Oryctolagus cuniculus: one gene and its partners. The protein of the gene in region 3 purifies or fractionates together with the protein of the main gene of each other region. This does not show direct contact. Links are inferred from orthologs where the notes say so. Each region holds a gene or a part of one and is shown on either strand. Other genes may lie near its edges.

Region 1 (7,518 bases), on a different chromosome or scaffold from region 3:
ATAAATTATCAGTCATTAACACTTGCCTTGATTCCTTAGGAAATCCATAGGAAGGTGATGTCACAGAACTTCACCAATTGCCACACCAAGATTCGCCATGTTGATGCTCATGCTACTCTGAATGATGGTGTGGTGGTCCAGGTGATGGGACTGCTCTCCAATAATAACCAGGCTTTGAGGAGATTCATGCAGACATTTGTCCTTGCTCCTGAGGTATGTGTATAGGAATATATATAGGATTATAGTGATGCTATAGTAGTTTAATTTCACATATTTGATATGTAAAAAAAATTGAAAGATTGTATACATTTGTAAAATGTTTATGAAATTTCAACCTTACAGAAAAGTGGTAATAGTAAAACTGCTGCGTACACTTCACCTAGTGCCACTGTCAATGCTTGCTTGCTCACATGTGTGTAATCTTTTTCTATTTACCTTTAGTTTTTTCTCATAAAACACTTGAAAGTAAGTTGGAAACTTAGTGTTCTATCATCTTCAAATACTTAAGCGGCTGCTTTTTTTTAAAGATTGATCTAATTATTTGAAAGGCAGAATTAGATCTAATCCCATGCAGTCTTGGCATTCTGTTAAGAATTTATATAGGAGCTGGTGCTGTGGCATAGTGGGTAAAGCTGCTGCCTGCAGTGCTGGCATCCCATATGGGTGCCGGTTCAAGTCCTAGCTGTTCGATGTTTGATCCAGCTCTTTGGTATGGCCTGGGAAAGCAGTAGAAGATGGCCCAAGTGCTTGGGTGCCTGCACCCACATGGGAGATCCAGAGAAAGCTCCTGGCTCCTGGCTTCAGATCTGCGCAGCTCTGGCCTTTGAGGCCATCTGGGAAGTTAACCATCAGATGGAAGACCTCTCTCTCTGCCTCTGCCTTTCTGTAGCTCTGCCTTTCAAATAAATAAATAAATCTTTTTTTATTTTTAAAATAATTTATCACCAGTCATGGATTTGTCGTATAATTACTGGATTATAATCCATTATAATTATATTGTTTATAAAATATCCCAGATCTGGTCAGTGTTAACCCCTACAAGCTGCTCTTTAGTAAATTTTTTTTTTTTACTCCAGGATCATTTTTGAATTCAATTTTTTTTTTAAGGAGCCCTAGTTCTTTTTAATTAAGCTCATCACAAAAGGATCCTAGGTTTATGTTGAATAATTGCATTTGTACCCATTTCTAGACTTCACAAGGACAGGAGGCCTGTTTGCTTCACCAGCTAAAAGTGGCTTAATAAGGAATTGCTGAATAAATGATTATATTCTGTAGCATTAATCATAGTTATTTTCTGTTTAGGGAGGTGAGCCTAAAACCCATAGGCTTGGGGCCAGTGCTGTGACTCACTTGGTTAATCCTCCATCTGCGGCGCTGGCATCCCAGATGGGCGCCAGGTTCTAGTCCCGGTTGCTCCTCTTCCAGTCCAGCTCTCTGCTGTGGCCCGGGAAGGCAGTGGAGGATGGCCCAGGTGCTTGGGCCCTGCACCCCATGGGAGACCAGGAAGAAGCACCTGGCTCCTGGCACAGCGCTGGCTGTGGTGGCCATTTGGGGAGTGAACCAATGGAAGGAAGACCTTTCTCTCTATCTCTCTTTCACTATCTATAACTTTACCTGTCAAATAAATTAAAAAAAAAAAATTCTTGTGTAAATAAAGTGACTTTTTCTCTGATTTACTTGAAGTCATGGTCATGATTTTTAGACAAAGGTTTATAAAAAGTGTAGACTTGAGGGAGTTATAGATATGTGAAAAATTACATGAAGTGTGATTGTCAGTGAACAAGTTTAGTAATTCTTTTTTCTTAAGGGAAATACCTTATTTCAAACTAGTGTACTAAGTGTAAATGGTCTCACTTTAGTATAAATTATTTAAGCTGTCTTATTTAATATGCAAGGCATTGATGTACGTTAATATCCCTCTTTTGTACATGAGGAAATAGCCTTAGAAATTGAATAACTAGCAAATGACATAGTGGAATTTCCACTCAGGTATGTGTTAAGTAATGTGAGCAAGGTTTTTTTTCAGCTGCGCTATCTAGAATGTGTGTATCAGATGTCCCAGGATGCATATTTAGGGAATTTTAAGTATCTGTTAAAAGGATAATGTGAGTGCTTGTTAATGATTTGGGATGTAGACTGTGGCATCTGACCATACTCAGACTTTTTGAGCAAACAGTGTATTTTAGTGTAGTCTTTCTTCAGTCATAGTTAAAATAGGGGTTTTCAGTTGAGGCAGTGTTGACTTTTTGGGTTAGTTTTTTTGTTTAGGGCTGTGTCATGTGCATGGTACGCTATTGATAGCATCCCTGTCCTGTACTCAGCAGTTGCTGGTACCACTCTGCTGTGGTGAAGACTCAGATGTCTCCAGATGTTGGCACATGTCTTCCAGGGGAAGAATTGCCCGCAGTTTTAGGAACCGCTGTTGTACAGGGACCTGGCTTTTTAGAAGTCTGTTGAATAAGTGAAAATTTTTTGTTGGCATTGCAGGGTTCTGTTGCAAATAAATTCTATGTTCACAATGATATCTTCAGATACCAAGATGAGGTCTTTGGTGGCTTTGTCACTGAGCCTCAGGAGGGTAAGTACTCAAATACTGTAAGTTACTTGGTTAAATTTTTTAATTGTATCAGACCTTAAGAGACTGGGTTTCTTAAGTGTTGTCATTATACTCTGTTCTTTATCAGTTACTAGTGAACAGGTTAGCTTTTTCATGTTGAGATTGGGCGAAAGCATAAGACACTTAAAAGTGGACAGGTCTATTATACAATAGCCCTACCCTGCAGAAGGCCTGTTGACACTTGTACTACAGTGTACTTGGGTTAAAGGAATGCAGCCCTGACTTTAAGGAACCTAAGTCTTTTATAAGGTTAGTAAACATGATTGTGTTTTGCAACAGAGGGAAGTACTCTTCTTTTCCAAAGCTGTAATATTGAAAATGTCTGGAATCAAATGTTGTTGAAAAATAGCCTGGAATAAAGGGTAACTGTAGGAAATGGACAGAAACCAAAAAACCTGTAGAGAATAACCTCCAAAATGGTAATATTTGAGTGTTTTCTATGACTGAGATTGTTCCAGAGCTGTATATATTCTGTAATACACAGCTTTATAAATAGGTACTTTGGGTACCATTGTCCTCATTTAATAAATTTGGGCACCATGGGGCAGTAATGTGATAAAACTAGTAAGACAGTGTAGCCTCTATTCGATGACTTCAAATAGGACTTGACTCCATGTTCTTAATTGAATTAGTACCGCAGTCTTCATTTTCTCTATTAATTTGTGATATGATTTTACCAAATTGCCTTTAAAAAAAAAAAAGTGTGTGTGTGTGTATGTGTATGGTATTTCATTGTCTTTTTGATTGCTCACAATAAATACACTGAAACAGAACATTTTTTTAAGTATCTTTTCCTTCTTCCTTAGAATCTGAGGAAGAAGTAGAGGAACCTGAGGAAAGGCAGCAGACACCTGAAGTGGTACCTGATGATTCAGGAACTTTCTATGACCAGACTGTCAGGTAAGGAAGATTTTTAATGATTTCCCAAAAGAAGGGTTTTGCTTTTGGATATGTGGTTTTATTTATTTATTTGACAGATAGAGTTAATAGGAAGAGACAGAGAGAAAGGGCTTCTTTCCGCTGGTTCACTCCCCAAATGGCCATAACAGCCAGGGCTGGGCCAAGCGGAAGCCAGGAGCTTCCTTCGTGTCTCCCATGTGGGTCCAGGTGCCCACACACTTGGGCCATCTTCTGCTTTCCCAGGTCATAGCACAGAGTTGGGTCGGAAGAGCAGCAACTGGTACACAAATGGCACCCATATGGGATGCTGGCACTGTAGGCAGAAGCTTAGCCTTCTGTGCCATGGTGCCAGCTCCAGTTTTTTTTCTTTTTATGAAATTTTATTTGTTTGAAAGGAAGAGAGAGAACAGAGCCAAAGATCTCTGGTCTGCTCTTGTTTCCCCAAATGCCTGTATTAGCTGGGGTTAAAGCCAGGAACCAGGAACTTATTCCAGGACTCCAGTATGGCTGGGAGGGATCCAAGTACTTGCAGCATCACCTGCTGGCTCTCAGGATGTGCATTAGCAACAAGTTGGTATCAGAAGTGGAGCCAGGACACAGACCCAGGCTCTCCAACAGGGATATGGGCATCCCAGGTGGTGTCTTCACTGTTGTACCAAGTGCTGACTCTTATTGCCTTTTTTTCCCCCCTTGTTGACCACATCAAACATGAATGGAATTTCTTATCAAGAATTTAATTCATTGAGGTATTGCATTAAATACTTTGGGGGGGGGTACAAAATGTACAGGTATTGGAGATTAAGCATAAATTGACATTCACATGTGAGAGTAATTTTAGTATCAGTAATTTCATTACCACAGTGAGTGTATCATTGTGTCATAGGTTCTTTTTCTCTTGAATTGGAAAAGAAATGTGTTTTATAGGAATAGACTGCATGTTTATACTTGTTAACATGTAATGTCCCGAATGTTTATAATTCAGTGCTTAAAGAATATTTTTAGGTGTTTCTCAAGGTGTAGTGATGGACTAACTGTATTACTCACTTGGGTGGTTGGGTGAAAATGAAGATGCATGGTCCTATCCCAAACCTGTTGAATTAGAATTTTGGGAAGAAGAAGAGTTCCTGGTGATTTAGTTGGAACTTGAAGAATTTCCTGTTCTGGGGCCTGGTACTGTGACACAGTGAGTTAAGCTGTTGCCTCTGATGCTGGCATCCCATATGGGCACCAGCCCTAGTTGCTTCACTTCCGATTCAGCTCTCTGCTAATGCGCCTAGGAAAGCAATGGAAAATGGCTTAAGTGCCTGGGGCCCTTGCACTCATGTGGGAGATCTGGATGAAGCTCCGGGCTCCTGGCTTCTGTCTGGCTTAGCACTGACTGTTTGTGGACATTTGGGGAGTGAACCAGCAGTTGGAAGGTCTCTCTGTCTCCCCTCTCTGTAACTCAGCATTTCAAAGAAATAAGTAAATCTTGAAAAATATTTACGGTTTTGAAGCAATATTAATGATTTTTCTTTCTTCTGAAATTTTTTGAATTTTATTATAAGAATTCTGTGGGTGGTGAAATTCACATATAAAACTGAACCATTGTAACCATTTTAAGTCTGCAGCATAGTGGTGTTAACTCCATACACATTGTACAGTAGATCTTGAGAGAATGTTTTCATCTGGCAGAATAAACTATACCTGTTGAGAACAGAACTTTGTCTTCTCCCACCTCCCTGCCTATTACATTTGACGTTTTTGTTCTGTTGTGTGAGGAGTAAATTGTAATAGTTTCGGGATTGCAGCTGAATGATAAGTAAAGGTTTTGACTCATGTTCAGATTTTGCCAGTAAACTGATTCTAGTTAAGATTTGTTCATTGAGTGCTTTTTATTTTAACTCAGGTGTACAATTCTTATTTGGCAAGAGGGAGCTATTTTTGTCCGTAATTGAGAATTTTCTTGTAAGACAGGGGAAGGCTGAATGATTATTTTTTGTATTTTCTTGTGAAAGCAATGACTTGGAAGAACACCTAGAGGAACCCGTTACTGAACCAGAGCCTGATCCTGAACCAGAACCAGAACCAGAACCTGTCTCTGAAATCCAAGAGGAAAAGCCCGAGCCAGTATTAGAAGAAGCTACTCCTGAAGATGCTCAGAAGAGTTCTTCTCCAGCACCTGCAGACATAGCTCAGACAGCACAGGAAGACTTGAGGGTATGGAGAAGGCTTCACTTGTCTATTTCTACTTTATTTTTCAGAATTTCTTTTCTCCTCTACTGCTGCTTGGGTAACTTCCTCCACTGCTTACCCAGGTGCACTAGCCAGGAATTGGGTCAGAAGTAGGATGCCAGTGCTGCAGGCTGGGGCTTTAACCCCCTATGCCACACCACTGGCCCTGCTTGGTTAACCTTAATACTTAACGTTTTCATTTGTGGTTTAGGATACCTTTTTTTTTTTTTTTTTTTTTCGACAGGCAGAGTTAGACAGTGAGAGAGAGACAGAGAGAAAGGCCTTCCTCTCTGTTGGTTCACCCTGTAAGTGGCCGCTACGGCCAGCGCACTGCACCGATTCGAAACCAAGAGCCAGATGCTTCCTCCTGGTCTCCCATGAGGTTGCACGGCCCAAGGACCTGAGCCATCCTCCACTGCACTCCTGGGCCACAACAGAGAGCTAGACTGGAAGAGGAGCAACCGGGACAGAACCGGCACCCCAACTGGGACTAGAACCCCAGGGTGCCGGTGCCACAGGTGGAGGATTAGCCTAGTGAGCCGTGGCACCAGCCTAGGGTACCTTATTAAATATTGAGCCATCCCTCAGTTAAGAAGGAAGATGCCTATTGCTTTTTAACAACATAAGTAACTGCCCTGCCCCCCTTAACTTGCATACCTATTGCACTATAAATTTCAGGTGCCATTTTACCACTATGTCATTGTAAAATATTTCATCTTTAAACTGGTAAATATTTGTTAAGCAAATGGATATCATTTTTTTTAAGATAACATGGTGAAATCTTGGTAACAGTAGTAGTAGGAAGGTAACTTCTAATTAAAATGTCTGATTTCAGAAGTTTGAAGCTTTTCTGTTACCTCTCCTGAGTCCCATCAGTGTGTGTGGAAATACTGACTTTTGCTTGCACATTTCAAATAGGTTGATTGGGTCGAGAGTGGATGATAGTATAGTAGTGCAGTTAGAGAGATGATAGCTTGGGTTATGACTTGGCAGTGGAGATGGAAATGAAATAATTGGGTCAAATAACAGGTTCTGATGATTTTTTAAGTGGGCAGTTTTAAAGTGTTCAAGATGATTGTACACTCTGTATAATTGGATCCATGTTTGTAGAGTGGATCAGTTCAGTCATGAAGAGCTGAGCTAGTTTTGGGGAGAGAATTTTCTTTGATTCATAAACTTGAAATTGACTAAAAGTAGCTTCCTTTTTTCTAATTTGGCTGATGCCAAAGAATCCCCCTCCTTCTCACCCAGCCTGAAGCAGTGTTATTTTCTCGGCTGCCACCAGGAGAGTGCCTGTGGTGTGCTGCCAAGTTGGTCTGCCTGGTGCTCTGACACAGGCAGCAGCTGCTCCTTCTTCCCCCAAGGAATTATAATAACTAAATATTGAAGAGGTGAAATAAAGAAACCTCAAGGAACTCCATCCTGCCTATAAGAATTATTATGTGTATACAAAAGGTATTCTAAAAGTTCATGAAAAATGCATATTATGAAAAAACTATAAATGGATTTTACCATTTTTTTTCTTTTGATCTTGGGAATGGACATTTAACCTATGTGGTTAAGATGCCCACCTCAGAGTACCTGAGTTTGATTCCTGGTTATGGTGTCTGTCTACAATTTCCTGCTAGTGTATACCCTGTAAGACAGCGGTGATGTCTCAAATAGTTGGGTTCTTACCACGTATGTGGGGGACATGATTGTGTTCTTGGCTTCCACCTTTAGCCTGACACAGTCCCAGCTGTTGTAGGCACTTAGCATGAACCAGTGGCTGAGAGCTCTCTGTCTCA
Region 2 (7,518 bases), on a different chromosome or scaffold from region 3:
ATTGGTATATATTGTATTATAAGGAAAATTCATGGATAAGTATTCTAATCTCTTGAAACTTTAGATTTCTTTTTTGATTATGTCCATGGTATACAGAACTATCAATTGACAATAACAGTGTAGAAGTTTAAGGAAATCAGATATTTAAGAGATTTGTGAACAGGAAAAGCAAAGCTCTTGTTATATAGCATGTTTGATGGTAAAAGTTCATTCTTTATTTCATTTGCCTTTAAAGCTTTGTGTTCAGTCTCTAAGAATAGGTAGAGAAAGTGACATGAAACAGCATGTAGATGATGAACTTGGCTTATGACACAGGATTCTCAACCTTGGTAGAATTAATAGAAGGATATGTAAATTATTCTTCAAGTTGAAAAAGGGCACATTTTCTTACATAACCTAAACCTTTAAAAAGTTAACTGTCATTGATATATTATTCTTTCCTTTTAAGGGAAAGAAACATAATAATTCTTAGCAAGACTATGTAGACTCACTGGTAACTAATTTTCAGAATGCTTTAAAGTTTTCTTTGTTCAAAACTGCTGAGTAGTGTATCTGCTACTTTGAACTTCAAACACAACAATCAGTAGTTATTACCTGTATTTCATTTGATTAGATGAATCAAAAGAAGAAAGAAAAGAAGAGGAGGAGGAGTTAAATTTTAATGAAGATATTTTGTGTCCTCATGGTAAGCTGGAAGCACAAATCTGTTCTTAGTTTGACTTCAGCATATCATAATATTTTAAATGTCTTGCACTTCATCTTAGGGACTAAAGTGGCAGCTGTGGTGGATTAACATGTTTTCTCATGTTTTCTAAGCTATACTTGGGTTTTTTAAAAAATGTTACCCATTGATTTACTTGTTTATTTATTATCCATTCATTTGAAAGGCAGAGTGACAGCAAAAGAGAAATATCTTCGTTTCTCTGACTCCCTCCCCAAGTTGCTGCAACAGCCAGGGGTGAGCCAGAATGAAGCCAGGAGCCAGGAATGGACTCCATCTGGGTATCCTGTGTGGTAGCTGGGACCCAGTGGATTTGTTTTTAATGTTTCTATTTTCTTACCCTTCTTTTATTCATTTGTTTTATTCTATGTATTTATTCAAAAGGAGGAGAGAGAGAGAAACTGATCTCCCAATTGCCAGTTAGCTCCCCAAATTTCCAAAACAGTCAGGACTACACCAGGCTGCAGCCAGGAGCTGGGAACGCAATCCAGGTCTCCCGTGTTGAAGGCAGGGACCCAATATCTTGAATCTGCTCCCTCTGTGATCACACAGTAGCAGGAAGCTGGAGTTAGGAGCAGAACCAGGCCTCAAGCTTGTGATGTGGGGTGGGGGTGTCCCATGTAGCATCCTCACCACTCTGCCAAACCTCCTTTCCTTTCGTACCCTTCTGCAGTGTCAGCTTCTACTGGCTTTCGGTGCCAAAGTCTCACCCTTTTCTTCTTACCTTGCAAGAAAAGTCTTTTTTTTTTTTTTTTTTTTTTTTTTTTTTTTTTTTTTTTTTTTTTTAATTTAGTAGTTAACCCTCCATGTTCAGAGGAAATCATTAGAGAAGAAACTTTTTGTCACATTGAAGCACTTTTGAATTTGAAGAGCAGTCTTTTAGGGGCCAGCATTGTGGCACAGCCAGTTTGTTAAGCCACTGCTGTCACATCCTGTATCCAGGTGCCAGTTTGAGTTCTGGCTGCACCATTTCCCGTCCAGCTTCCTGTAATGTGCCTGGAAAGGCAGCTGAAGCTGGCCGAAGTTATGGATGGAGCTCATGGCTCCTGACTTCATCTTGGACCAGACTTGGCTGTTGCTATCGTTTAGGAATTAAACCAACAGATGGAATATCTCTGTCTCTCTCTCCCTTTGTCACTCTGCCATTATATATTTCTTCTTGTTATTTGGGCTATTGATGGTTTAATTTCTTTGACATCTATTGTCTGACTGTGTACTAGTTGTTCTTAACCAGCACTGTGTGGTCCTATGTGTGTCCTTGTCTTACTTGGTCTTAATGAGTGCTCACTTCAGGCACAGGTGTAGTTAATTGGCTTTATCTTTTCAAATTTAAGAAATAACATCATTTATTGCATGATACAAATCCAGTTTCTAAACATATCGTAAGTAAAAGTTAATTATTGTGAGATTTTAGACCACATTCAAATATATTAAATATTGTTATTAAAATAATAGGACGTTGGATTTAGAAATGTGACTAAGAAGCAGTACGAAGGGCTTTGTGTTTATTTACCAACCAGACTGAAGTAAAACAATCTATTCAGGTTGTTTTCTGATTGCAGAATGACTTTGTTACTCTGCTTTGAAATCATGAGTAGGTCACAGGCACACAGGCACAGTCTCTTCCTTGGAGTATCCCATCGTCACAAGGGACACCAGGCGCAGGCTCGCAGTAGGTTCAGCTGCCACTTGGAATGTGGCATCGCGTGCCAGAGTGCCAGCCTGAGCTCTGCGCACTTCTGCTCCAGTGTCCTCCTGATGCCCCGGGAAGGCAGTGGACAATGGCTCGAGTACTTGGGCCCCTGCCACCTATGTGGCAGACCAGGACGGAAATCCTGGCTTTTGACTTTGGCCTGGCCCAGACCTAGCTGTTGTGGTCTTTGTGGAAGTGAACCATTATATGGAAAATCTCTCTCTCTCTCTCCCCCTCTCACCTCTGCTTTCAAATAAGTAAATCTTTAAAAAAAAAAAAAAAAAAGTGGGGGGGGGTACATCCACAGTGTCTGTGAAATTGTCCGCAGATAGACACAGTGAAGTGCATGGGGAGATTTGTGTTGCTGTCACTTTTTTTTTTTTTTAAGATTTATTTATTTGAAAGGCAGAGTTACAGAGAAGCACAGAGAGACAGACAGACAGAAGTCTTCCATCCGCTGGTTCACTCCCTAATGGCTGTAATGGCCTGAGTTGTGCTGATCCGGAGCCAGGAGCTTCTTCCAGGCCTCCCACGCAGGTGCAAGGGCCCAAGCACATGAGCCATCTTCTACTGCTTTCCCAGGTTCATTAGCAGAGAAGTAGATCAGAAGTAGCAGTGGGGACTCAAACCGACATTACAGGCAGCAGCTTAACCCATTTCACCATAATTCTGGCTCAAACTGAATCCTTTTTTGAAAAACATGGGAAACCACTTTAAAATTATAATTGCCTGGTGTACCTAAATCTTTTTTATGGCTGTATTGGTATTTCACCATAGTCCTAGGACCACTAAATTGGGGCTAAACAATCCAATTAACTTTTTTTAAGAAAGAAAATAAGTTCCCTAATTATGTCTGAGGATAGTCATGTTGGAGTAAGTTTTCATAGCCTCAGAGGAAATTTGAATTACCAGCCTACTTAGAAATAAAGTGAAATTTTACCTTGTGACCTAATTTCTCTAGTAATAACTTTGTTGCAGGAAAATCATGGTTTTTTTTTTGTTTGTTTGTTTGTTAGTTTTTTCCCTTTTGGATAATTCAAAGCTCAGAGGCAGGGCATGGGTATTAGAAATTCGTGAGATTTGGTGGAGGTAGGCCTGGGTTCCTGGTGCAGCATTGCAGCTTCCCAGCCAGTGACCCTTGTTCATCCCTGCCTCTCAGTTGATGTTACACAAAGTGTTTCATGTGTTCGAAAAGCTGCTGACTTGATTACTGTTAATAAATCCATAGGTGCCTTTGGAAATGCAAAGGTACAGTTCCCTGGGTAATGATTTCCATCGGACGTAAGTGCAGTTCACTAATTTGCCACTTGGGAACAGTTGAAACGATTACAAACAGAAGCAGAGACAGCCAGGTGAGAGGCCCTGGAGAGCTGGCTGGGAGGCCCTGGGCTGCAGAGGGGCGGCGCCCTGGTCCTGGCCTTCCTGCCATCTGCTGACAAGAGCAGGAGTGGCCATGGCCATAACAAGTATTATTCTTGTTGCCTTCTGGAATTTTTCAAGATCCAATGAGATCTCTGAAGCAAGGGCTGGAGACAGCCTTGGAAACAGTGTCATTGGCACTCAAAATGGAGACAGTAAAGTCTGCAGGAAATTGTGACCTTCTTCTGTGGGGGTAGAGAGTGGGAGATCCCTGGAAGCCCCTTTGTACTGCTTCCTTCCTGCCGGCTGGGAGAAAACGCACACTGGTTTTTGTCTTCAGATCTTTCCACTACAGACCTAGATTGAGGACATGAAATCGAGGTTGGTGGCTATCTCTTAGAATTAAAAATACAGAGGTTTTTGAAAATAGAGAAATGTACCACTTTAGAAAAGAAGGGACCGAAAACCTATAATGTCTTTTTTCAGCTTTTCTCTCTTGTTTTCAAATGTAATTTCTTTCCCACTCAGGAGAGTTATGCATATCTGAAAACGAAAGAAGGCTTGTTTCTCAAGAGGCTTGGAGCAAGCTACAACAATACTTCCCAAAGGCTCCTGAGTTTCCAAGTTACAGAGAATGCTGTTCCCAATGCAAGGTACAGAGCTCCACTGACATCCCAGGAAAGGGCGTGCGCCTGCCTGGAATAGCTTCCCAGGGGAATTAACCTTGTGCTTCAGGTGAGGGAGTAGGGGAGGCAAGCTCTGGGCTGTCAGCAAGAGACAGTTGATTGCTTCACTTTCTTCCAGATTTTAGAAAGAGAAGGAGAAGAAAACGAAGCCTTACATAAGATGATTGCAAACGAGCAGAAGACTTCTCTCCCAAATTTGTTCCAGGACAAAAACAGACCGTGTCTCAGTAACTGGCCAGAGGTACAGTCATCCCCCCAAAGAAAGGAATTCAACTTGGCCTTTTCAGGCCCTTGCCAAATTCCTGAGAGTGCTGAAGAACAGCCTAGCTCATTCTCACTTGTTCAGTAACCTGCTCGGGGGATGTACCCCAGCTGGATGTTTCTTATTAGATGGCTGCATTTCCATTTTATTATAAAACTCCAACAAGGAAAATCACAGTGTATTTCTCATGAACAGTTTGTGCTAAGCATGCGATGAATTAAAGTGTGCCCTTTTTTTGTGGTTTTCATATTCTAGGACACGGACGTCCTCTATATAGTGTCGCAGTTTTTTGTGGAAGAATGGCGGAAATTTGTTAGGTAGAAACCAGACATTTTCTATTTCCTTCATTTTGGGTTGTCTCCCATGTTCTTGGATTCTGTTTGTGTACCTGCATGATTACTTTCAGGAGGGTACCCTGAGAGCTTGCTTTTCTCTGTGAAGTTAAATGAGTAGCTCTAAGTCACACATTTAATTATTAAGACTCTTACATAAGTATTTGAAAAAGTCTTTCTCCTGCAGTAATGAACTCTGTTTGCCCTCCTTGTCTTACTTGAATAGGAAGCCTGCTCGATGTAGCCCCGTGTCCTCGGTGGGAAACAGTGCCCTCCTGTGTCCCCACGGGGGACTCATGTTTACATTTGCGTCCATGACCAAAGAAGATTCTAAACTGTGAGTTTCTTCTCTTCGTGTGGTTTTTCTGTTTCTAATGATTAAGGCATTTCTCTTCTGACATAGTCTAAGAATCTAGTCCTTGACTGAATTGTGGGTTTTTTTGTTTTTTTCTTCCCTCTTTTCCACGTTTGTTTAATGCACTACTAGAGTGAGCACTTAAACCTTTATAAGATCAAAAAAGAAAGCAAACCTACTTCTCCAGTACAGGCAAGAGGCTGCTCCCACTCCTGTGTTCTCTGTTCCCTCCTCCCCCGCGGCTGATTAGCAGTGCTGTGGCTGCAGGTGGCCCTCTCTTCCCCAGCCACACGATCAGCCTGGTCTCAGTTGTGAGTTTGCATGCAGCTGCCAGCTGTTGGAAGCCAGGGAAGGACAGTGTCCACCTTAGCAGAGCTGCTGAGCCTAGCGTCCCCCGCGGCTCCCACAACTGACATTTGACTCCACTGCTCACTCGCTTCCCAAAGGGCTTGTCTGTGGATCTTGCCCCTGGCGCTGCATTTTGTCTTGTAAAATGGTTTCTAACTGTATGAGAGAAGGTAGAATGTCTCCAACGTTGCCAGAAAACCATGAAAGAAACCCTGAAACACCTACACAAAAAGAGAGATTTTCCTACTTGATTTAGGAAGCTCAGTTCATGTAACCAACGGCCCTCTCCCCTCCCTTCTGTTTGACTCTTCTCTTCTCCCTCCTCCTGCCCTCTCCCAGTAGCCACTCAGAAATTACTCCTTGAAATATGGCTGCTTGTGCATCGTAAAGTCATGGGGATTTTGTTTCGTTTTTTTAAACTTCAAATATAAGTATTGTCATACTGTATTTTCCCTTCCGCCACAAGCTTGGTTTATTCTACTTAGGTTTTAGAGGTTTTACCATGTTGATTCATAGAACCTCCAGTCTGTTTAGTTTTACTGCTTTTGTAACATTCCTTTGCATGACAGAATTATTATTTCTTGTTGTTGATAATCTTTATTTTCCTTCTAATTTCCTTCCCGATAAGTGATGGTGTTGGGTTTTGGTTTAGGAGACTAGTGGGTTTTGTTAGCTCTCATCGTATGCATGTGTCTTAAGGCATGTTGTGTTTTCTTGCACAGTATAGCTCTCATATGGCCCAGTGAGTGGCAAACGATACAAAAACTCTTCGTCGTGGATCATGTAATTAAAATCACAAGAACTGAAGTGGGAGATACAAACCCTTCAGAAACGCAGTATGTTTCTGAGCCTAGTAAGTCTTCATTCTGCTTTCTGGTTTCCTTGCTGGAGGAGGGAAGGGTGTGTCAGTATTTTTTTCTGTGCTTCAAGTTAAAGCTGGGACAATGTGCATGCTCCCTGGGTGAGAACTAGTACCATGCAAACATCTCAGTGTTTGTATGTTTGTTTATGGGCATTAAGTGGATGTCCTTATCATTTTTATACAACACAATAGTTACTAGAGGTTATAGCTAGTTTAATGAATATGACTAATGATTTTGGTGTATGTTTTTTATATCTTTGCTTCTTTGACTATAATTCCTTTTTGTAGAACTCTGTCCCGAGTGCAGAGAAGGCTTACTGTGTCAGCAGCAGAGGGACCTGCGAGAATACACCCAGGCTACCATCTATGTCCATAAAGTTGTGGATAATAAAAAGGTACTGGTCCCTCTTGTGGCCATGACTAGCAGTGAACAGGCTTGCTGCTGTGGGCTTCCCGAGGACATCTTAGGATGGTGTTTTCTGTCCTCTGAACTGGTTGGCATCAGAATTGCGATTGGACAGGAATTGAAAGAATTATATGACTGAATGGATTTAGTCTTTTATTAATGTGACACATCGAAGTCTACTGAATGTCAGCTGTGTGCCAGGTTGGTTGTGTTGCTAGGGATACAGTGATGAAGACAGGCAAAGCACCTGCTCTTAAATTGGAGGAGGGTGCCTGAAAAAGTTTATGGAAAATTGGATCAAAAGACTTTATTTTGATGCAAAAAAAAAAAAATATTTGAAATCCATGCATATAAAGGATGGCCAGGCCAGACTAGAGCCAGGAGCCAGAAGCTTCATCCAGGTCTCCCACATGGGTACAGGGGCCCAAGCATTTGGGCCATCTTCCACTGCTTTCCCAGGCACATCAGTAGGGAGCTGGATTGGAAGTGGAGCA
Region 3 (8,288 bases):
CTGTGTGTATGGAATGAATTAGAGAGAAAGGTAAATGGAGAGAGACAGAGAGGGAGGGGGAGAGAGAGAGGGAGGGGGGAGAGAGGGAGAGAGGGAGGGGGGAGGAGAGGACAGCGCCCTCGGTCAGGCAGCACTGAGACCCCCCTCCCGTCTACCCCACCCCCGCCGGTGGAATCGCCCCCTGTCAGGGCCTGCGGGCAGGGCCGGTGGGGGGAGGAGGAGCCGCGGAGAGCGGGGGGCGGGGCGCCAGGCTCAGCACCCCCCCCCCCCGCAGTCACGCACTCCGGTGTCGGCTTTCTCCCCCCCCCCCCCCCCCCCCCCCCCCCGCCAGGGCTCCGAACAAAAGGCGAACCTGAGTCCGGGCAGGGAAACCGGAGGAGGAGGGGGGAGGAGCGCAGGTGCAGCGCGCGCGGGCGGGCAGGGGCTGGCTGGAGGCCCCGCCCACCAGGCCTCCCACCTGCCTGGGCCCCGCCCCCGCCCAGGGCCAGGCCGCCAGACTGGGGAGGGGTCTCCTCCGAGCTGCAGGATTCTTGCAAACCCAACCGCTCCAGCCACGACCCGGCGACGGGGGTTCGGTCCCCGCCTCCGGCCGCCACCACTCAGGGACGGCCGCCAGCGGTGTGGATTTCCGCGAGAAACTCCACGGTCACCCCGCGAAGGGCCACGCGGCGCAGGCGGTGCACTGTGCCGCCCCTCCCCCCCCCCCCCGCCCGCACAGGGCTGGGGGGCGCGGTGTCTCCTGCCGGCTCTGTGGCCTCCAGCCGCCGCCTTCCCCTCTATAAAGCAGGGGTCCCGGGCCGCGCTGGGGCGCAGGGGGTTAAGGGCACGCCCTGCAGCGCCCGCATCCCACACGGGCGCCGGTTCGAGTCCCGGCTGCTCCTCTTCCAGTCCCGCTCCCTGCTTAGGGCCTGGGAGGGCAGTGGACGATGGCCCAGGTCCTTGGGCCCCTGCACCCGCGTGGGAGACCCGGATGGAGCTTCTGGCTGTGGCCCGGTCCAGCTACGACCGCTCTAGCCATTTGGGGAGTGACCCAGGGGATGGAAGACTTGTCTCTGCCTCTCAAATAAATAAAATAAATTTTAAAAAAAGAGGGATCATCAACGGCCCTACCCCAGCCAGCAAAGTTCGCTCTGCCTAACCCTGACTTTCACATTTAAAAAAAGTTATTCGGAAGGCAGAGACACGGACAGAGGTCCCCCCGCACTGGGTCCCTCCCCGGGTGCCCACGACAGCCAGGGCCGGGCCAGGTGGACGCCGGTGGCCAGGAGCTCCATCCGGGGCTCCCAGGTGGGAGGCGGGGCCCAGGCTGCACAGCAGGGAGCTGGAATTGAGCCCAGAGCCAGGACGCCAGCCAGGGGCTCTGACCCGGGATGGGCACCCCAGCGGCCCCGCGTTCTGGGTCCCGGGGACCCCTCAGCGCCCCCGCACCCTGCTCCCGCCTGAAAGCCCTGCCTCTGCCCTGAGGCCACGGGGCGAGGCTCGTCCCCAGCCCGGGTGCTCCCTCCTGGGCGCCATCACTGGCCTGCCTCCTCCAGGCAGACCCCCGGAGCGCTCCGGCCACGGGGCGGAAACCCGAGCGTTCTGACGTCGGCTGTGCGAGGGGCTCGGGGCCCGACACTGGCTTGCGGGGCCTGGGGGGGGGGGGGCGAGGCAGACGCAGGGGCCTCTCCCTCTCTGGGGCGGCCCCACCCAAGGCTGCCCGGTGCTACCCCGGGGCCTTGGCACTGGCCATCTCCTGCACCCCAAGGCGGCTCCCTCCCTCTTCCCCTCGGACCCTCGCACCTAGGTGACCTCCTCCGGGAAGCCTTCCCGGACCGCTGGAACCATCCGCTCGGCGGGAAACCCGCACCCACCCTCCCCGCGCCGCAGGCCCAGGGGGAGCAGTGGACACTCGCGAGGGTCGGCAAAGCCGTGGGCGCAGAAATCTGCGTGGGGGGGCGGTTCCTGGAGACCAGTGCTGGACACGGCGAGGGCGGGGCGGCAGGGGGCGGGGCGACAGCCCAGAGGCCAGCAGGTGCCCGGCCACAGGAGGGGACGGGGTGGGGGGCTTCAGGGGTCCCCGCGGCCTCAGACCCACCTCTGTCTTCTTAAATCGCGCCCGGAGGGTCTTCATGCCCAGTGTCCCCCTCGCCTCGTCTCTCCGGGCCTCCTGGGGAGGGGCAGGGGTGGCAGGGGGGGCGGGACCCCACCCCGGAGGGCAGGGACAGGCAGGCTGGCCCCCACCGCCCCCGCTGGCCCTCCCGGGGCCCCCTCTGGGCAGAGGCGGGTTCCGGGACCCCACTCCCTCCCGTCCACCTGCGTGCAGGCCCGCGGGGCGTCTCCAGGGGGCGCTGCGTGAGAGGGGGGTCCCCGGGGAAGGACCACCCCTACCTGGGGGCCTCCTGCCAGGGAGTAGGGGCGGGGCGCCCTGCACCTGCCCGAGAGGCGGCCTGGGCCGTGGGAGTCCCTGGGCTCAGCGGAGGGGCCGGGGTCCTCCGTGTCCCCAAAGCGCCGGGCCGGGGAGGCAGGGTGGGGCTGCGACCCCCAGGCGCGGTGGACGCCGGCAGGTGCAGCTCGGCCCCGGCCCTGCCTCTCACCTAAGTGGAGCCCCCACCCCAGGCCCCTCGCCTACCTCCCGCGGCTCCGGTGCCCCGTGCCCACCGCCGGCTCCGGTTACCCGCTCCCAGCTGGGCCTGGAGCTGATACCCGCGGCTCCCGGCGCCCGGCTGGCTCCGACACCCGATCGGCCGCGAGGCTGGGGATGAGCGAGGGAGGGGACAGGCGGCAGCTGGGCTGCCCGTTGGCCACGAGGCTGGGGGGGAGACGCCGTGCTCCCCCCATCCCCACTGCTTGGGTTTCAGTTTCTGGAAGGAGCCACGGGCTGCCCTGGGCACCTCAGCCAGCTCCTGGCCTGCCTCCTCCAGGAAGCCTTCCAGGATGCCCCAGGCTGGGGCAGGAGCCCCCTCTGAGGCCCCTCACACAGTAGGTGCGCAGCATGCGTGACCTGTCCAGCTGCCTACTGGCCAATCCCCCGGGATAAGGCTCAGGGACCACAGAGCGCCCCCCGGGGACCCTAACTGCATGGAGTCCAGGGCACATCTGCGTCAGGTTCACTAATCAGTAAAAAGGGCAAGGGGCCCCCGAGCGCTGTGCGCCCTCATTTCGGGGCCACCTCTCACGCGGGAAGCCGCTGCAACTCCCCGCCCCCAGCCCAGGGGCTTGCAAAAGCCGGGCTCCCTCCCTGCCAGTACTTAAGATGGCGTCCGCGGCGTCAGCGCGACGCGCGCGCATGCGCCCCGGCAGGCGCGTCCGTCAACGCGGTTCCGCCTTCCTGCCCGCCCCACCCCGTTTCCGGCGGAAGCCGCCTCAACAAGGGAAACTTTATTGTTCCCGCCGGGGCGGCCAGGATGTCGGTGAACTACGCGGCGGGGCTGTCGCCGTACGCAGACAAGGGCAAGTGCGGCCTCCCGGAGGTGAGCGTGGCCGCCCCCGGCGGAGGTGAGCGTGGCCGCCCCCGGGGGGCCGCGGGCGGGGCATCGCGGGAACACCGAGGGGCGCCCGGCTGGACAAGGGGAGGGACTTCCCAGGGGGCGGGAAGTGACGCCCCCCGCGCGCCGGGGACCCCGAGCGCGGCTGCCCGGGGTGGGGGGGCTGGGCCGGGGTCCCCGGGGTGATGGGGAGGGGGCGCGAGCTGGGAGTCGGCCGGGAGGGCGAGCGGGGCGACCCCCGGCTTCTCCACGCCCCCCCCACTTCCTCCTGGGTCTCCACGCCCCCTTCCTGTGAATCGGGGTGGGAGGGGGCGAGGAGGGCCCCCTCCCCGGGCAGGCGGGCCCCGCTGCGGGTGCCGGCGGGAGCCCCACGCCTCGGGCTGGTGTGGTTCCTCCTGTCCCGGAACTCACTGGACACCTGTTGTGGGCCGGGCGCAGGCTGGGGGCTGGGGGCTGGGCCCGGAGCCTGGGGGCTGGGGGCTGGGCCCGGAGCCTGGGGTGGGGGGCGAGCCAGCCGAGCAGCTGCCACTCCAGTGCGGGCACAGACAGGGGGCGCACTGACACCAGCCCAGCTGGCGGGGCAAGGCGGCGGCGAGGGGGGCGGTCCCTGTGGACACGGCCCGTGCAAAGGTCCTGTGGCCAGCGGCGGCGCAGAAGCAGCGAGGGGGCCGGGGCAGGGGGCCACCGCGCTCGAGCCGCGCCCTCTGCGCCCCCGCCCGCCAGATCTTCGACCCGCCCGAGGAGCTGGAGCGCAAGGTGCGGGAGCTGGCCTGGCTCATCTGGCAGTCGGCCAACGTGGTGGTCCACACGGGCGCGGGCATCAGCACGGCTTCGGGCATCCCCGACTTCAGGTCAGTGGGCGCGGGAGGGCGCGTCGCGGCAGGGCCAGCGCCCGGGTCGCCCAGGGCGCCGCCAGCCCCGCCCCCCGCCCTGAGTCCCAGGCCCCCTCTCCCTGCGCGCCGCCCCAGGGGCCCCCACGGCGTGTGGACCATGGAGGAGCGCGGCCTGGCGCCCAAGTTCGACACGACCTTCGAGAGCGCGCGGCCCACGCAGACGCACATGGCGCTGGTGCAGCTGCAGCGCGTGGGCCTCCTGCGCTTCCTGGTCAGCCAGAACGTGGACGGGCTGCACGTGCGCTCCGGCTTCCCCAGGTACCGCCGGCCCCGGGGGGTGCGGGCAGCTGCGGCGCGCGAGCGGTCCCGGCAGGCTTCCTGGAGGCGGCGGCCTCGAGCCGGAGCCTCCGTCTGCCTCTCCCGCAGGGACAAGCTGGCTGAGTTGCACGGGAACATGTTCGTGGAACAGTGTGCCAAGTGCAAGACGTGAGTGGGGCCGTCCGCGGGCCGTGGAGGCCAAGTTCAGGGCCGAGGGCTGCCCCAGACCCAGAGCCCCTGTCTGAACTCCCGCGGGGCTCCGGGGCCGCAGGCGGAGCTGGGACCGGCCCCTCCCCCAGAGCAGGTGGCTCCAGGCGCCCAGGGACCCCGGGAGGGAGGGGCCGGGCCGCGCCCCCACCTCCCCGCACGCCCCTCCCCCCGCAGGCAGTACGTCCGCGACGCCGTGGTGGGCAGCATGGGCCTCAAGGCCACCGGGCGCCTCTGCACCGTGGCCAAGGCCCGGGGGCTGCGGGCCTGCAGGTGAGCCCCCCCCCGCCTCCCCGCCCCCCGCCCGCCCCCCAGCCGCCCCCGGCTGCACCCCCCACCCGCTCTGCCTTGCAGGGGGGAGCTGAGAGACACCATCTTGGACTGGGAAGACGCCCTCCCCGACCGGGACCTGGCCCTCGCCGACGAGGCCAGCAGGTCTGACCCCTGCCTCCCCGCCCCCACCGCACCCCCACGCGCTCACAGTGGCGGGGGGAGGAAACGGGGAGACACAGCCAGCAGGGACTTGGGCGAAGTCCGGGAGGGCTACCTGGAGGTGGCGGCCCAGCAGCCGGCTCCCCCCCCCAGGAACGCGGACCTGTCCATCACTCTGGGGACCTCGCTGCAGATCCGGCCCAGTGGGAACCTGCCGCTGGCCACCAAGCGCCGCGGAGGGCGCCTGGTCATCGTGAACCTGCAGCCCACCAAGCACGTAGGTGCCGCCCCGCCACCCGGCCCCCCGCCGCCGTGGCCGCCCCGCCTCACCCCTCTGTGCCCCCCCCGCAGGACCGCCATGCAGACCTGCGTATCCACGGCTACGTCGATGACGTCATGACGCAGCTCATGAAGCACCTGGGGCTGCCGATCCCCGCCTGGGAGGGGCCCCGCGTGCTGGAGCGTGCCCTGCCGCCCCTGCCCCGCCCGCCGGCCCCCCTGCTCGAGCCCCGCCCCCTGCTCAACGGCTCCGCCCCCAAACAGGAGCCCCAGCGCAGCCCCAAGCGGGAGGCGCCGGACAGCCCCGCCCCCAGCCGGCCCCCGAAGCGGGTGAAGGCGGAGGCGGACCCCAGCTGACCCCAGCGGGCGGCGGGGGGCGGGGGGGGGTACGGACTCGCACCTGGGGGCCCCTCCCCCGAGGAGCCGCCCTCCCAGCTCCAGCCCAGACACAGCGGACGTCCCCGGCCCCGGGGACCCCTCCCCCACGCCAGCCCCGACCTCAGCCCCGGGCGTCAGGGACCCTGGGGGGGGGGGGCAGCCCGGCGCGGAGACCCCGGCTTCCTCCAGGCTTGGACGCAATAAAGGCAGGAGTGGCTCGGACCCTCGATGCGCACCGGGCTGGGGCTGTGTGGTCCCGGGAGCCCCCGCCCCGCCGCCGCCTGTCCGGCCGCTGTCTGCCCACCCCCGCGTGTCTGAGCGCGGCTGCACCTGCGCGTGGCCCCACTACGAGGGGCCCGGGTTTCCACCTGCCCCCAGCTGGGAGGGCTTGAGGCGCGCTCCTCCCGAGACGGGCGGGCCCCCGGCCGCTTCCTCCAGGAAGGCCGCCCACGGGGCCTGAGCCGGCACTGGGCGCCCATCGGCAGGGGGCTGGACTCAGGAGGAGCCGGGTGTGGGCCGAGGGGGGGTGCGGGGTCTTCGCCGCTGGTCCCCGACGCGGAGCCCCTGTAAGCAGCCCCCCACCCCCGCTCCAGGCCCCGACGGCGCCCGCGCGCCCGCGGCCGCTCTCCAAGGTCCTGACGCTGCCAGCCGCGAGCTCGGTCAAAATACTTTATTAAGGAACAAGGCATCTTAGAAAAGAGGGGCGGGCGTGCGCCCCGGCGGCGTCGGGGCCGGGGTCCCCGCAGCCGCGAGGGAGGCCGGAGCAGTCGCTGTGCGGCGCGGGGCCGCCCCTGGGGCTTCGCGCGTCCTGGCAGAGGCCCGGCGCGCGCGGCGCTCACAGCTCGCCCCCGGCCGCCTCCAGCCCCGCGCGGCCCGCGCTGAGCACCGGCTCGGGCGCCACCCAGTCCAGCAGGGTGGCCGGGCCCAGCTCCTCCCCCGAGTCCCCCAGAACCAAGGTGGAGTTGTCCATCGGCCCCGCGGAGCTGTCCAGCGCCTTCGGGTCCTGGAAGCCCCAGTCCTCCCCGGGGCGGCCTGGAGACCCTGGGTGCGGCGCGCCGGCCTCGGGCTGGGGTCCTGGGGCCTCGGAGCCTGGCGTGGCGTCGGGGGCCACGCGGGCCGCAGCCTCGTTGTGCAGTGTCCTGGAGAAGACTGGGGTGGGGGCGGGGCTTAGCGGCCGTCCCTCCCCTAGCCGCCAGCCTCGGGGCACAGGAGTGCAGGGGTCTCCTCCCCCAAGGCCCAGGATGGGGGGCGGGGGGCGTCCACGGTGACCGCAAGAGAGGGGCTTTGGGGGGCGGTGCCTACCTCGCAGGGGCGCGAAGTCCCCGGGGCTCTCGGCTTTGCTGGGGGTGGCGAAAGGGCTGATGGACGGGAGGACGATGAGGGCGAAGGAGAGAAGCAGCACCTGGCGGGAGGGGGCGGGGTCAGCAGCCCCGCGAGGAGGCGGCGCAGCCCCGGAGCCCCGCCCCCGCCCGCGGGCGGCCGGCTCGGACTCACCGCGATGCAGGTCCCGGTCTGCGCGGACTTGCCCGCGGACTGCGCCACGGTGGCCTGGAGCTTCCTCAGCTGCTCCAGGAGAGACCTGGGGGGCGGGGGGCGGTGGGCCTGGCTGAGCCCCCGCGGCCCTGGCTCTGCTTCCCAGAACCCCCAGCCTCGCCCAAAGCCGATTCCTCGCCAGTCCCTCTCTCTGGGTCGACAAATCCCTGGGAGCGCTCTGCTTCCCCGTGAACTCCTCCACACCCTTCAAAGCCCCAAGTCCAAGTGCCCTGCTCTATTCCGCCCGCCCCCTTACTCCCCCCACCCCACGCTTCTCTCTCCTCGTCCCGCGGAGACTCTGGGGCCCGCCCCCGGCTGAACACGACTCACAAGTTCTGCTTCTCGAGATGCAAGACCTTTCTCTGTAGCTCCTGGTTCTGCGCGGTGCAGGCCGACATGCTGCGGGGCGCGCACAGTGTCACTGGGGCCGCCTGTCACCTGCCTGGGAGCCCCGCCCCCGGGCAGGTCGGGGAGCCCAACCAGAGGGGGGAGGCTGGGCGGGGCCGGGCCTGGCGCGCCTGTCTGCTGGCGCCCGGGCCTGTGACAGCGGTGACATCACCCTCCTGGGGTCAAAAGGCCGGCTGAAGCAGCTGCCTGCCACGCCCACATCCCATAAGGGCCTGGGTTCGAGTCCCGCGTCCCAGGCAGCTCCCTGCGCATGCGCACCCAGGGAGGCAGCTGGCAGGGCCCAAGGGCTGGGGTCCCCGCCGCCCACCTGGGAGCTCCGGCCCGGCCGTCGTGGGCATCGGGGAGGGCACCGGCGGGTGGAAGACCCGCCTTCCAAATGGACGGGTCGGTGATGGACAGACAGGCGGAGGACAGAGCACAGATACATGACAGA

Evidence for each region. The genes of interacting proteins can lie anywhere in the genome.
Region 1: the proteins of SIRT6 (region 3) and G3BP1 purify together in Homo sapiens (affinity purification with mass spectrometry; 3 studies listed by BioGRID and IntAct, with this or other methods). This does not show direct contact. The link is inferred for Oryctolagus cuniculus from reciprocal best matches to the Homo sapiens genes SIRT6 and G3BP1.
Region 2: the proteins of SIRT6 (region 3) and USP48 purify together in Homo sapiens (affinity purification with mass spectrometry; 3 studies listed by BioGRID, with this or other methods). This does not show direct contact. The link is inferred for Oryctolagus cuniculus from reciprocal best matches to the Homo sapiens genes SIRT6 and USP48.

The regions. Positions count from the first base shown.
Region 1 is NC_091437.1:38,775,199-38,782,716, forward strand, and holds part of G3BP1 (ras GTPase-activating protein-binding protein 1), read left to right. Parts: intron 1-39; coding exon 40-213; intron 214-2,487; coding exon 2,488-2,578; intron 2,579-3,423; coding exon 3,424-3,517; intron 3,518-5,514; coding exon 5,515-5,716; intron 5,717-7,518. UniProt on the Homo sapiens protein: Protein involved in various processes, such as stress granule formation and innate immunity. Plays an essential role in stress granule formation.
Region 2 is NC_091438.1:149,260,443-149,267,960, forward strand, and holds part of USP48 (ubiquitin carboxyl-terminal hydrolase 48), read left to right. Parts: intron 1-613; coding exon 614-685; intron 686-4,301; coding exon 4,302-4,426; intron 4,427-4,577; coding exon 4,578-4,700; intron 4,701-4,976; coding exon 4,977-5,038; intron 5,039-5,279; coding exon 5,280-5,390; intron 5,391-6,478; coding exon 6,479-6,609; intron 6,610-6,906; coding exon 6,907-7,013; intron 7,014-7,518.
Region 3 is NC_091447.1:59,687,528-59,695,815, reverse strand, and holds SIRT6 (NAD-dependent protein deacylase sirtuin-6), read left to right. Parts: upstream 1-3,311; 5' UTR 3,312-3,386; coding exon 3,387-3,452; intron 3,453-4,190; coding exon 4,191-4,318; intron 4,319-4,435; coding exon 4,436-4,618; intron 4,619-4,726; coding exon 4,727-4,786; intron 4,787-5,002; coding exon 5,003-5,098; intron 5,099-5,179; coding exon 5,180-5,260; intron 5,261-5,410; coding exon 5,411-5,534; intron 5,535-5,608; coding exon 5,609-5,893; 3' UTR 5,894-6,136; downstream 6,137-8,288. Other genes in the region: CREB3L3 (cyclic AMP-responsive element-binding protein 3-like protein 3), read right to left, coding at 6,750-7,063, 7,217-7,316, 7,409-7,493, 7,778-7,846. UniProt on the Homo sapiens protein: NAD-dependent protein deacetylase, deacylase and mono-ADP-ribosyltransferase that plays an essential role in DNA damage repair, telomere maintenance, metabolic homeostasis, inflammation, tumorigenesis and aging.